Regions from separate parts of the Mus musculus genome. Here all the other regions are reported to be linked to region 2. The links are microRNA targets in miRTarBase. Many come from high-throughput screens and were not tested one by one. Region 2 holds a microRNA gene; each other region holds the end of a gene's coding sequence.

What was found. The annotated mature microRNA mmu-miR-7b-5p reads UGGAAGACUUGUGAUUUUGUUGUU and lies in region 2 at 921-944, shown strand. An mRNA with a match to its seed (bases 2 to 7 or 8) in the 3' UTR can be bound and repressed. Matches are read on the target gene's strand: a 7mer-m8 pairs with bases 2 to 8, a 7mer-A1 pairs with bases 2 to 7 and ends in A, and an 8mer does both.
Region 1: the mRNA of Tenm4 is a reported target of mmu-miR-7b-5p. The part of its 3' UTR that is shown has no 7-base or 8-base seed match.
Region 3: miRTarBase lists Pgm2l1 as a target of mmu-miR-7b-5p. Seed matches in the 3' UTR shown: 7mer-A1 at 1,608-1,614 and 7mer-m8 at 1,499-1,505.
Region 4: the mRNA of Doc2b is a reported target of mmu-miR-7b-5p. Seed matches in the 3' UTR shown: 8mer at 2,825-2,832.

What each region holds. Positions count from the first base shown.
Region 1 is chr7:96,906,186-96,909,289 of GRCm38, reverse strand. It overlaps Tenm4 (teneurin transmembrane protein 4), which reads right to left. Exons shown (of 33, transcript NM_001310762.1): 33 at 1-3,104. The coding sequence ends at 2,699. Among named protein-coding and RNA genes, the nearest start is that of Gm22226, 12 kb to the left of the region's middle.
Region 2 is chr17:56,242,097-56,245,200 of GRCm38, forward strand. Mir7b (microRNA 7b) reads left to right here and starts at 892; the gene lies at 892-1,002. A230051N06Rik (RIKEN cDNA A230051N06 gene) reads left to right here. Exons shown (of 2, transcript NR_155493.1): 2 at 60-709.
Region 3 is chr7:100,271,899-100,274,984 of GRCm38, reverse strand. Pgm2l1 (phosphoglucomutase 2-like 1) reads right to left here. Exons shown (of 14, transcript NM_027629.3): 14 at 1-2,658. The coding sequence ends at 2,556. Among named protein-coding and RNA genes, the nearest start is that of P4ha3, 12 kb to the left of the region's middle.
Region 4 is chr11:75,769,169-75,772,272 of GRCm38, reverse strand. Doc2b (double C2, beta) reads left to right here. Exons shown (of 9, transcript NM_007873.3): 9 at 205-3,104. The coding sequence ends at 341. Among named protein-coding and RNA genes, the nearest start is that of Gm12339, 25 kb to the left of the region's middle.

The DNA.
Region 1 (3,104 bases), not on the chromosome of region 2:
AATGGGCGAAAGGAACTGTGGCCTGTGCCTTTAAACACACCTGGGAGGTGGAATCCAACTGAAAGGAGCCAAGGTCATAGTTCAGGGAGGACAGCATCAGTGTCAAGGGAGGCACATGGCACTGTCTGGCCTACAGCTGAGGTCCTATACAGCTCAGGGATGCTTGCCTGTTTCCTCTCTGGGGTGGCAGTCCAGGAAGAATATGGGATCATTCCTTTTAAAGAAGAATACCCCATATCTCATGGTATTCACTGATGCCTAAAAATATAGTCTTTGAGGGAGGGAGACAACAGAGGAGGAAGTCACAGGCTGGACAGCTACAAGGAGATGGTCCCTTGGGTCACATGCTGTCTCTCTGTCTTATAAGTAAATGACCCCGGCGGATCTCAGCCAATGTCAGGCAGCCAGTATGGGACAGATCAACTAGGCCAACTCACAGGACAACTCTGCCCACAGGACCCTTACAGCAAACGTACATTTTGAGGGGCATATGTCTTCTGGATACAGAAAAACCCATGTGTTTCAGGTCAAACTATTTTCTATCCCACCCAAGAATGATCATACCAGAAGGGGGTCTGCATTACAGCTCGCGCTAGGTACTGTGGGCCTGAGAGGGCATCAAATCTGACCCAGCAGAGCTTTGATCCAGAGGCAATGAGCAACCAGTGGATAGAGCAGGCTGTGGCACACGGTTGCAACAGCGTGACGGATTTTTTTTTTCTTTTTTCTTTTTTTGGAATCAGGAAGAGCACTTAACGAAACACATCCTCTTATCCCAGTGGGACAACATAAGGCGAGATCTCCCCTCCCCCAACACGCTTTGGACACCTCTCTCTGCCAGGCAGAACTACACACTGCTCCGATTCTCCTGCGGTAAGAGACCTTCTTGGTTTCATTAACTCATGTCATATTCTTAAGACTCTGTAAGGCTATAAAGGTGCCATGAGCTTTATCAGTCCAACAAGGTTCCCACGGGGAATAGCTTAGACTCGGAATTCATTTTCCACACTTAATGTAAATGTAACCCATAAAAGTCCCATTTTCTAAGAAGCCCGGCTCAAAAGGAAGCATTTGGCTTCCCCAGTCTCCCAGACACTGGGAGTGCCAATAACAATGGTATCTAGGCAGACAAAGCAGGAAAGGAATCCTCCAGTGAGCTCCTAGCTCTTGTTACAGTCCTCTGCCCGCCACACTTCCCCGGCCTGCTGGCTCCCTCTGGCCGGTCCTCCAGCACTGGCTGCGCCTATGCCTACTCTCGTCCAAATGCCATGTACACAGGTCTTCACAGGAACAATGCTAGCCTGGCCTTCTGGGTCCATGGGTACCAGCTCTGGCACCGCCATCCCTGATCTCAGTGGGGTTGTATGACCCTGCTAGGCCAAACCAAAGAGCTCTTTCTTCTTATTTAAAAACAAAAACAAAACCACTCCTGCCTGGGGTTCTTTAATGAAGAATTCCACAGAAGGAAATTCCTGAAGGCCTAGCCTTCAGGGAATAGCCTGAACAGGGGAGGCAGAGGAGACTCCAGGACCTGGCTAGGGTGCTTGGCTCATGCCTTTGTTGACTCCTGTCTTTGGCTGACTTGTTCTTTTATACATCTTTCCAGGATCAAAGGCATCTCTTGCCACACTCCCAATCATCAGTGGTGGCATCCGAGCACTGGAGGGAAGATAACCCAAAGCCATGGGGACAGGGTTCCCTCGACTTCCCTTTGGGAACGTTGGGGGCTTGCTGCGCACTGCTGGTTCTCACAACTGACTTTGGGAGAGAGGAGGAGATGAGCGAGGGGCATCATGGAGGATCAACAACTCACAGCATCCTGGGTGCTTTCCCCTCTTGGAAAGGATGGGGCTCATAGTCCAGACTAGGGAATGGGCCTGGGAGACACACTTTCTCTATCTCATTATGGGTGGGGGGCGGCACTGACAGCTACACTAGAGATTTGTAAAAGGGGGGTGGGTGGGTTCATTTAGCATCAAAATATAAAGCTCAGACAGGAGTTTGGGGTGGCTTGAAAAGGTGCTGAACAGCATCATGGAAATTTCCAGAGCATGATGTAGGTCCTCAGGAGGCACAAAACATGGTGAATAGCAACTCACCACTTCTGTGGGAGCCTAACCAGAGCTCCCAAGGTCCCACCGGGCCTGTGACTCTGTGACCCCTCACTCCTGCCCAACTCCAGCCAGAGAAGAAAGGGTTACACACGAGACAAGTTAGCACAGACACTCGTGTCTCACATCACACTGGGTACCTAGGGGCGGATGTGGACACACCCAAGGAGATGCGCTCCCCCAAGAGAGGAGAAATGTATCCTCAACGACAGGGAAAATTCCTCAAGGAGAAAAAGGGAACAAAAGACAATGAAATTATCATCATGATCACACTACAGAAAACAAAACAAAACAAAACAAAACAAAACAAAAAAACCCTTCCATTCTTTGCAAAAAAAAAAAAGTGTGAAGGCCAAATTTGTGTTTTTCTTTCTTTAAAAAAAAAAAAAAGGATGTTGCATGAATTAACAATGCAACAAATATCTTTCTGTTCTGTTTTCTGCACTTGTTAAAAAGAAGTTTTTGTTTTTTTGTTTCTGTTTTTTTGTGTTTTTTTGTTTGTTTTTTGTTAAGTACAACACAGTCAGGAATACGGCCACAGAAGAGTAGCTGTCTTTGGCAAGAAGTCCAGGCCTTGGCCCTTTCTGTCACCTTCGGCCCATCTCGCTTTGTCTCATGAAGTGGATATTGTTGGCGCTGTCTGACAGTTCTGGGTACTGCTCGACCGAGGTCACAAAGAAGCCGTCGTAGCCTTGCACCCGCCCCGTGTTCAGCACCTGCTGCTTTTCCCCATCTGTCCAGGCCCGCAGGCCCTCTTCCCCTTCCCGCAGTCTCTGCTGCTCTCGGGCCCAAGCCTGGCGCACAGCTCTCTGCCTGGCCAGCTCCAGCACCCGCACCTTTTCCTCATCCACTGTTGTCCCGTAGCGGGTGTTCAGGCACAGCGCCCTGTACTGCAGCTGGATGTCAGTGTAGCGTCTAGTCCTGCCACTGAGCACGGTGTTGATCTGGGACACAGTGACGTTGACCCCATTCTCCAGGGTTCTCCGCCCCCCA
Region 2 (3,104 bases):
GGAGAGTGTCCTCGAGCCGCACTGACCACCCCCTCCCCCAATAACTAATTATGTTTCAGCACTGGAGACGCGGACAGCGCCATCCGGCTGAGGGACTCGGAGCAGAGTTCGGCTTCAGCACCAGGATTTCGGACAGCTCCCAGCGGGTCACGAAGAGACTAGGCTTCAGCACCCGGCCCCTGGCAGTGCCAAGCTCTCAACACCCAGCTTCAGGGATCGCCTTGGGGTCTGTTCTGGCGGAGAGTGTACAGGGAAGGAACCTCTTAATGGTTCTTGGCATTTGTCCTTTACGGAGGGATTTTTTTTTTCTTTTTTGAAACAGGGTTTTTTTGTGTGTACCTCTAGCTGTTCTGAAACTCACTATGTAGACTAGGCTGGCTTCAAACTCACAGAGTACAGGCGAAGCATTTGGTCAACGAGATGTTATGAGTGCCTCTGGGTGTACTAATTTCCAAAGTGAAGTGGTGAGGGGAAAGCCAGCCTCAATCCAACTTTAAATCTCAAGTTCTTTTTATTTTTAAAAAGAGTTTTTCTCTCAATTATATATATAATTATTATTATTTTAAAACACTGTAGACCAAGCTTTGAACTCCTTGTGTAGCCAAAGATGATCTTGAAGTTCTCATCCTCCTGCCTCTACTCCCTGCGTGCTGGGGTGACAAGTGTGTGCTCCTCGTGCCTGGAACAATAAATCCCACGTTGGTGATGTGCCAGGGTGTGAGTTGGGGGGCAGGTAGAGAATGAATCTTGCCTGTGTCTCAGGGGATGGAATGGAAAAGGGATGTCTAGGGAGGGTAAGTCAGTGAGTGGGGTTTGTTATGCTCAATCCTCTATGGAGAGAGAGAGAGAAGCACTTGAGGGTGTTGAACCTGGCGGAGGAGGATGAGGACGAGGAGCGGAGTACGTGAGCCAGTGCTATGTGGAAGACTTGTGATTTTGTTGTTCTGATATGATATGACAACAAGTCACAGCCAGCCTCATAGCGTGGACTCCTATCACCTTTCTCCTGAAATACACAAACAGGTAGGGGCAGGAAACTGGGACAGGAGGGGGTTAAGGGAAGTCTAGCACGGACAGGAGAGGGTGTCTAGCAAGGTCTCGGGCCCTGGGAGAGTGCAGGAGTGTTTCCCATGCTATTGGCCTGTCACTCAAACACATCTACATGATAGGATCAGAGACACAACCTCAGGGCCCTGGGTCACAGCACCGTGCTTTCTCTGGAGACTCAAATAGGGAATGGTGAGCCAGTGGAGTAACTCAGAGGGAAAGAGTGCTTTGAAATTAGGGAACCCAAGCTTGAGCCCCAGGATCAACTGGGTAGAAGGATAAAACCAACTCCTGCAAGTTGTCCTCTGACCATACATGTCCTGTGACACACATGCTTCCACACACAAATAAATAAACACACATAAAAATTTTTCTTTTTTTTTTTTTTAAGAGAGGGTTTCTGGGGCTGGTGAGATGGCTCAGTGGGTAAGAGCACCCGACTGCTCTTCCGAAGGTCCAGAGTTCAAATCCCAGCAACCACATGGTGGCTCACAACCATCTGTAATGAGATCTGACTCCCTCTTCTGGTGTCTGAAGACAGCTACAGTGTACTTACATATAATAAATAAATAAATCTTTAAAAAAAAAAAAAAGAATTACATTTAAAAAAAAAAAAAAAAGAGAGGGTTTCTGTATATAAACCTGGCTGTCTTAGAACTTACTCTGTAGACCAGGTTACCCTCAAATTCAGAGATCCACCTGCCTCTGCCTCCTGAGTGTTTGAATTAAAAGCATGTGCATACATAAAACTTTTTTTTTTTTTGGTTTTTTGAGACAGGGTTTCTCTGTATAGACCTGGCTGTTGCTCTGTAGACCAGGCTGGCCTCGAACTCAGAAATCTCCCTGCCTCTGTCTCCCAAGTGCTGGGATTAAAGGCATGCGCCACCACTGCCCGGCCATAAAACTTTTAAAAGAGGGATTGGCATCAAAGGTACTTCTAGAAAACCCTGAAATTCTTTTCTCTTTCTTGTTTTCTTTTCCTCACTCTTTTCACTTTGCCTGCTTTGAGACAGTGTCACCTGTAGTCCAGGCTTTTCTCTAACTCTGAATGTAGCCCAGGATGGCTTTGAACACTGAGTTCTCTTGCCTCCAGTCCCTGAGAACCATGCCTAGCATACACGGTGTTGGATTCAGAATTTCAAATGCTTTGACTGGGTACGGTACCCATGGAGCCCCAGCCCAATTTTCAATAAAACTCTGTGCCCGCCACACAAAGCAACCACTAGTTGCATGACTGATACCAAGAAAATGTGGACTTGTTGTCTGGTGGGTCATGGCATTCTTAACATTCAACACCTATCATCTGTGACATTCTAATGCAGTCACTAACCATCCCCCACTGTGCAATTCTCCCCAGCTGTCCTAGTGTGCATCCTGGTGCTGTGACAGGACCTTGACTCAAGAAAAGGGCAGGAAAGAGTTTATTCAGCTTACAATGATGGCCACACTCCATCACTGAGGGAAGTCAGGGCTGGAACCGGGAGGCAGGAGCTGATGCAGAGGCCATAGAGGGGTGTTGCTTACTGGTTGCTTACTTGCTTCCCCTGGCTTGCTCAGTCTTCTTTCTTATAGAATCTGGGACCACCAGTCCAAGGATGGCACCACCCACAATGGCCTTAAATCATTAATCATGAAAATACCTGATAAAGGCCTTTTCTCAATTGAGGTTCCTGCTTCCCTTAAGCTCCACCCGTGTAAAGCTGACATCAAACTCAGTCACACAGCAGCCCAGGGGCTGCTTTGTCCATGCAGTTTCCTCTCTTGGGTCTGCACAGTCCACTCACATAACCTCCCATAACCAACTCTGCCTTCTCCAGGCTTCAGCTCGGTGGGAGAAACTTCCTGTTACCTCACTGGTCAATTAGGACAAGACTTTGTTAACATTCTCAGCCTCCTGCAACGGCCACACTATTTAGGAAAGGCTGATACTCTCAAACAGAATGTTTACAGATCTCTTCTGGGGGACTCTAAGTGGGGCTCCACCCCTGACCATGCCCTCAACTCCTCACTGGGTGATTCTAGGAGACTCCACCACTGAACCTGGCCCCCATCCTTTA
Region 3 (3,086 bases), not on the chromosome of region 2:
CTTTACCACTGAGCTATGTTCCAGCCTAATTCTTTTCCTCAGAACTCCAGAAATTACTTATTTTGATTTATTTGCTCAAAGAGAATATATTCCCATGCTATTGCTGAAAAGAGGGATGAGATAAACAATGCAGTTATCATTCCAAGGTCGAGACCCACAGGCTGGCATGCCTATCTTGAGCTGTTATTAAATTTAGCCTGTTAGGCACCTGTGCACCCACTGTGTCATGTTCATGTTAAACATGCTCAGACAGACTCAAGAATGTAGACAAGAATCAAACGGTCTCCTCAACTTACACACTCTGGGAACCTTTATACACAGCTGGGATGTAGCCTTTCAAGATAAGGGCTCAAATGTCAGTAACGTCACGTGACGATGACTTATTTCTTGTATGTTTAGCACTGAAGCAAAGATATTCTCTTCACAAGTGAATAGCAATCATGGCGTGGCTTTCTTGTTATAAACAGGCTGTCACATTGCTTTAGTTTTCATTTTGTCCTTGGGCCACTGAGACACAGACACTAAAACTGAATGGGCATGTTTTTTTATACCACGTCGTAGAATACATGTTATTTCCTAAATTACAATTTACACTCCTAAAAGCCAACAAAATGTTTTAAAAATAAAACAAAAAATTCTACATGCTACTTTTTTTTTAGCACAAAGCCTCTAAAATAAACTCATACAGGAAAATGGCACTGAACATTAACTAGCTATCATCTATATAATGTAGGACCCAGTTCTAAGACAGTAAGGAAGGAACACAGAGCAGTAGTGGCAACATAATGTAAAACCTATCTTTGGATTATATAAGCTCAACCAAAATTATCCTCAAGCTGCAACAAAACACACCATGGTTTAATTAATATTCCAATCAGTATAGGCTTTATATTATTTATTTTTAGGAAACTAATCATCTAACATCAGTATTGTCTCCTATAGGCAACTTTTCTTAAATGATTATACCTGAAGGCCTTGCTACTGTTATCATAACTGTAGTGTGTGTATTCTGTAAACTATTTGGGGAAATATATAATTTGGAAAGCTTAGACAGTATTTTTCCATTAGGCTTTTCAGAAGGCTACAGAGTCAACCACAAATGACTTTCCTGAAAACTGTTTCGCATTGAAAAAGATGAAACGTATTTATATGATCAGAAATTCCAAAGCCTGATGGAGCATACTAAAATAAATTGACCTTAGTTCTAACTTCAGTTTCAGTGTTTCATAATACCTAAAATTTCCCATTCAAGCACCGTGCTTAGCCTTGTTTAGCTTCTGAGATAATGAGAATGAGATTGGGTATTGAATCAAGGTAGTGTGGCTGTAGAAAATACTTATATCTTGATGTTTCATTTTTTATTAAAATTAGCATTACCTTATCAGATAAATAAATCTGGCTATAAAAATGTAATTAAAAAAGACTGCCAAATAAATGCCATGCTGATGCCATAGGACAGAGTTTTTCACTTATAGGTTATGATAACTGAATCCTAGCAGGAAGACTCAGCTACAGTTACATTAAGCCAAAATTTATTAAGACCTTTTTCTACAACCATCTTTAGAGTGAACAAATCTGTTTCCTATAGAGGAAGCACCTATATAGTTTGGAAGATTTTCCTTAACTATCTGAAAATGGACTGTGTTATATTCAACACAGGAACATCATTTCAGTTCCCACTAGACCCTGAGAATGCACTGAGGAATTTGACAAGAATAAAGCCATGAGGAGTGCTGCCACTACTGTTTTATGTTCAGTAAACATCCGTCTTAAATACATACAGTAAATATACACCACACCAAGGGCACCCGAAACACTGGTGCCAAACCACAGACGGTAACATCTGTCCTAAATCAGAAAACCTAAATAACCTATAAACATTTTTTCCTTCCTTCCTTCCTTCCTTCCTTCCTTCCTTCCTTCCTTCCTTCCTTCCTTCCTTCCTCCCTCCCTCCCTCCCTCCCTCCCTCCCTCCCTCCCTTCCTAGACAAAGAATTACTGTGCAGCCCAGGCTAGCCATAAACTAACTAATGATCCTCCTACTAATGATCCTCCTGCCTCAGCCTCCTAAGGGCTGTGACGGCAGGAATATGCCACCAAGCTGGGTTTCTAATTTGAAAAACAGGCAGGAACAGTACTCCCAGCCACAAACACACAAACACCTTTAAGAAGTAATTTCCTTAACTAACCCTATAGTTATATAATGTTTGACTTCTTTTAAACCATGCTATACACAATTACAAGATACGTAACTAAGCTTAAGCACAGTTCAATATGAAAACTCACTTTTGTACTGTTTGTGATACAGGAAGAACAGCGTGCCACTGGAACACTTTCATTGTAATGACTGTCACTTAAGATTATGAAAATATTTGACTCATATCCAAATATTTTCATTTCAAATGTATATAATCTATTTAGCCAGCTGAACACAGGAAAGAAAAGGGAAAAGATAACTTGGCAGATGAGAGAATTCTAACACAAGGTTCACTGAGTGGAGTTCTTGAAGGTTTCGTTCCATATGTCAGTGCAGAGTCATAACGTACTGATGTGCCCTACACAGAGCGCCAGACCAGTGCGTTCTTACTGGGCTCAAGAAAATTCTCTATCAGCGCGTCAATGAGTTTCTTTAATTCTTCTTCCAGGAAGGTAGTGTCACTGAGGAAAAAAAGACAAAAACAGTTAAAATTCTTATTTTTATAGCCTTAACATTTATTTAAATCATTTCCACTTTTAAGGAAGGCACATATCTGACAGGACAACTAAATAATCGGCAAACAAAAGAGAAATTCACCCAGTTGAAATAAAACAAAGAAGACTCTTTAAAAATTCATACACAAAACAACAGTCACAAGCTAACACTGGACTGCATTACTCGGATGTCTTCCGGCCATGATAGAGTGTGAGTTCACAGTGGCCAATGAATTTTCCTAGGTTAATCAATTTAATAGCTCAGAATGCCAATAGCACGTATTATTAAAAATGGCTTTCTGAGATACTGAAGGACATTCAGTACAGAAGACATTGAACAATACAAATATCTTTCAGGTATCAGAAAGCAGTCCTGGCACTCACTGGGGAGGCAG
Region 4 (3,104 bases), not on the chromosome of region 2:
CCTTCCTCCCCCTTTTCACTCCCTACTATGTACCATTGAACCCTGCCCCACACTGTTCTGGTCCCTGGTAGAGGAGAAACATGACATCAAACACTGGGTCAAGTGGGAAGGGTGTGGCTGGAAGCTAGGGGCTGTCCACACACAAATGGGTCTGGACGCTGGGGGCACTGAAATCCCTAGCTGCCCCTCTGATCTCTTCCGCAGGTGGTGTGGTTCTGGGCATCAACGCCAAGGGCGAGCGCCTGAAGCACTGGTTTGACTGCTTGAAGAACAAGGACAAGAGGATTGAGCGTTGGCACACGCTCACCAATGAGCTCCCAGGGGCTGTACTCAGCGACTGACTGTCCCATCTGCTGCCACCCACCCTTGCCACCCGGCCCACACAGGTCCAACCCTGGGCTTTCTCAGCTGCCGCCAAGGGCAAGATCCAAGTTGTCTGCTCGGACATAGACAGTGCAGCCCCTGCTAGGAGGCCAAGAGCACCCAGCCTCCCTCAGAGGGACAGGAAAACACAACATGATACCTGTTCCAGCTCCCTGGGCATCCAAGCTGGCCAGAGCTGGGGGAATCCTCAGCCTCAGCTCCATCCAGAGGAAGGGCTATCTACAGTGAGGACCTATTGGAGGTGAGGGGTGGAGCCCTGCTGCAAGCCCAGAAATGGGGGTACTCTGGCTGCCTGGAGACTACAGGGAGGACAATGGGCAGGCAGAGCCCAGGACTCCAGGACAGACAATGTAGCCAGCCAGAGCTTCCAACTTGCTTGTGCATTGATGGGCAGATAGACTCCGTGAGCCTCTGGGACGGGGATTCCCACTCTAGCAGGGCATCTGGGTGCACATATTGCTACAAAGGGGTGCAGCATACCAGAACCAGCCAGTTGTCTGCAGGGGCTGTGGGTACTGCTGACTGCTGAAGGGTGGAGGGCAAGGAAGGCATCCCATGAGAGTCAGGGCTCAGCACAGTCTTGAAAACCCAGCTGTGGCTTGAAAGCTAGGAGAAAACCAAATACAGAAAAGAGGAGGCCTGAAAGAGGGTACCAGGGGACAGGGAGCCATGGGGGCCTAGGGTTGCGCTAGGGCAGCATTGGGCTTTTAGGCAGGAGCTAGGCTTAGGGATGTGTACAAGCACTTGGGAAACAATGTTCAAACCCAAGCTCTCCCATTTGATCTTGCTCCCAAGGGGTCTCAATGCACACTGCTCCTGTTCTCAGCGTAAATTCCCAGTCAGCTTCAGGGGAATGAGAAAGGGATCCTACTAATGTGGAAAGAAGCAAGCATCCCTCCTGCCCACCTGTCCCTCCCTTCTTCATCCCCTCAGCTCAAGCTGGTGTTAGGTCCTTCACGGCTACCTATGGCATCCTGGCCCTATCAAGACAGTCAGGACCAGCAGTGGAAAATAGAAAGCCTTGTTTGGGGGAAGGTGGAGGGATGGGGGTTCTGCCCTCAGGAGCTGAGAACTCTGGCCTCAGTTTCTAGGAAAGGGTAGGACACTGGTCAGTCTTGAAGCTCCCAACTGCCTCCTGCCAACTGGGATTCAGGAGCACAGGGGGAACAGGGAACCAAGGAGTTCCACCATCATCTCAGAGCCCCATTTTCCTCAATCCATCACTGAGTGATAAGACACTGGGGTCCTGCCCTAAGCCTAGAACCCTCCTACAGCTGAAATAAGAACTCGGGGTCCCAGAACATGATTCCAATCCACAGTGCTCACCAGCCTTCCCTAGTTGGCAGGGAAAATAGGTCTCTAGCTCTCCACAGCACCAAGCCACCTGTTGCTTGTAAGAGACTGGGTTTCCCTCTTTAAAAGGTGTCGCCTGTTACTGAATTGGCAAACGCCTTCTTATTGAATCTTCACCATCCTGTGTGGTGGGAGGCATGGTCAACCCATTTTATAAATGAGATGGCTCCAGAGTTGTTGATAAACTTCCAGGGCCACCACGGTGTGAAGGGCTGAAGCAAAAACTCCAAGCCTTTTGACTATCTGAGGACAAGGACTCTCAGGTCCCTCTCTCCGGAGTTAATGGGGCTTAGTGAGGTCTCTTACAGAGAAGTCTTGTTATTGTCAGCCACCTCACCCTCTAGCTGGCTTTGAAATCATTTGTGCCATTTAGGATTTGCCAAAGGCTACAGCCAAGCCCTGGAACTCAGCTGTCCCACCCCCAGCCTGAGGTCAAGGAACTTGGGGGACCGGCCTGATGTTTTCCCCATACAGCTAGAAACAGGAGCAGATATTTAAGTGCACCTGGTTGAGCTCTGAGTAACTCAGATTTTGCCTTTTGGGGTGCTTTGTTCAGAGAGGAGTTTAGAAACCCCCCGACGATACAGAAATGTTTATTATACCTAAATGTTTATTATACCTGAGGTGACTGAAGCTCATCAAAAGAACAGGTGGCTCAGGTGGACAAGAAACCTGGATCCCTGTTGCACCAGGCAGTAAGTGGGTTTGGGACTCAATGATGATCCTTGCCAATCCCAGGGACAGGCAGGGTGGGAAGCAGGGCTTCTAGCCACCTAAAAAGTGATGGCCACTAAAAAGTGATGGAACTTTCCCGGATCCTGGAACGTTTCTAAATCCCCAGTACATTACATCTCTACTAAAGGGAAAAGGTCCTTTGAGAAGTTTCAGAATCAGTTCAGTCTTTCATTCCAAACGAGTATCTTCCTTCTGGCTCATCAGCGTTGCAAAGAGGAAATTTGATACCAAAAACAAAGGTCATTCCAAAGTACTGTCAGTAACCAGGGCCTCTCTTGATGCCCATCATCCACCTCGCGTCCTGGTCTCTGCCCCGCCCTCCACCACCGTTAGCCAATCCCTGAACAGTCCCGTCTTCCAACCCAGAGTCAGTGACCTCCTGACCTCTAGTGGCAAAAATGAGGAACTGCACCTCCGTGGCCCGCCCGCCCGCCCGCCCGCCCGCCGAGCTCGGGCCAAGCGTCCTGCCCTCCGTCCTTCTCCAGCCAAGTGAATCTCCCGATGCATGGACTCTGGCTGTCCTCGACACGGACTCGTGCACTGCTTACAGTTTTGCTGCCACGTGACGACTGCAGAATACATCCTCAAACTGCAGCGCCACGAAACAATTTTTGTAATCTTGTCTGACCTTC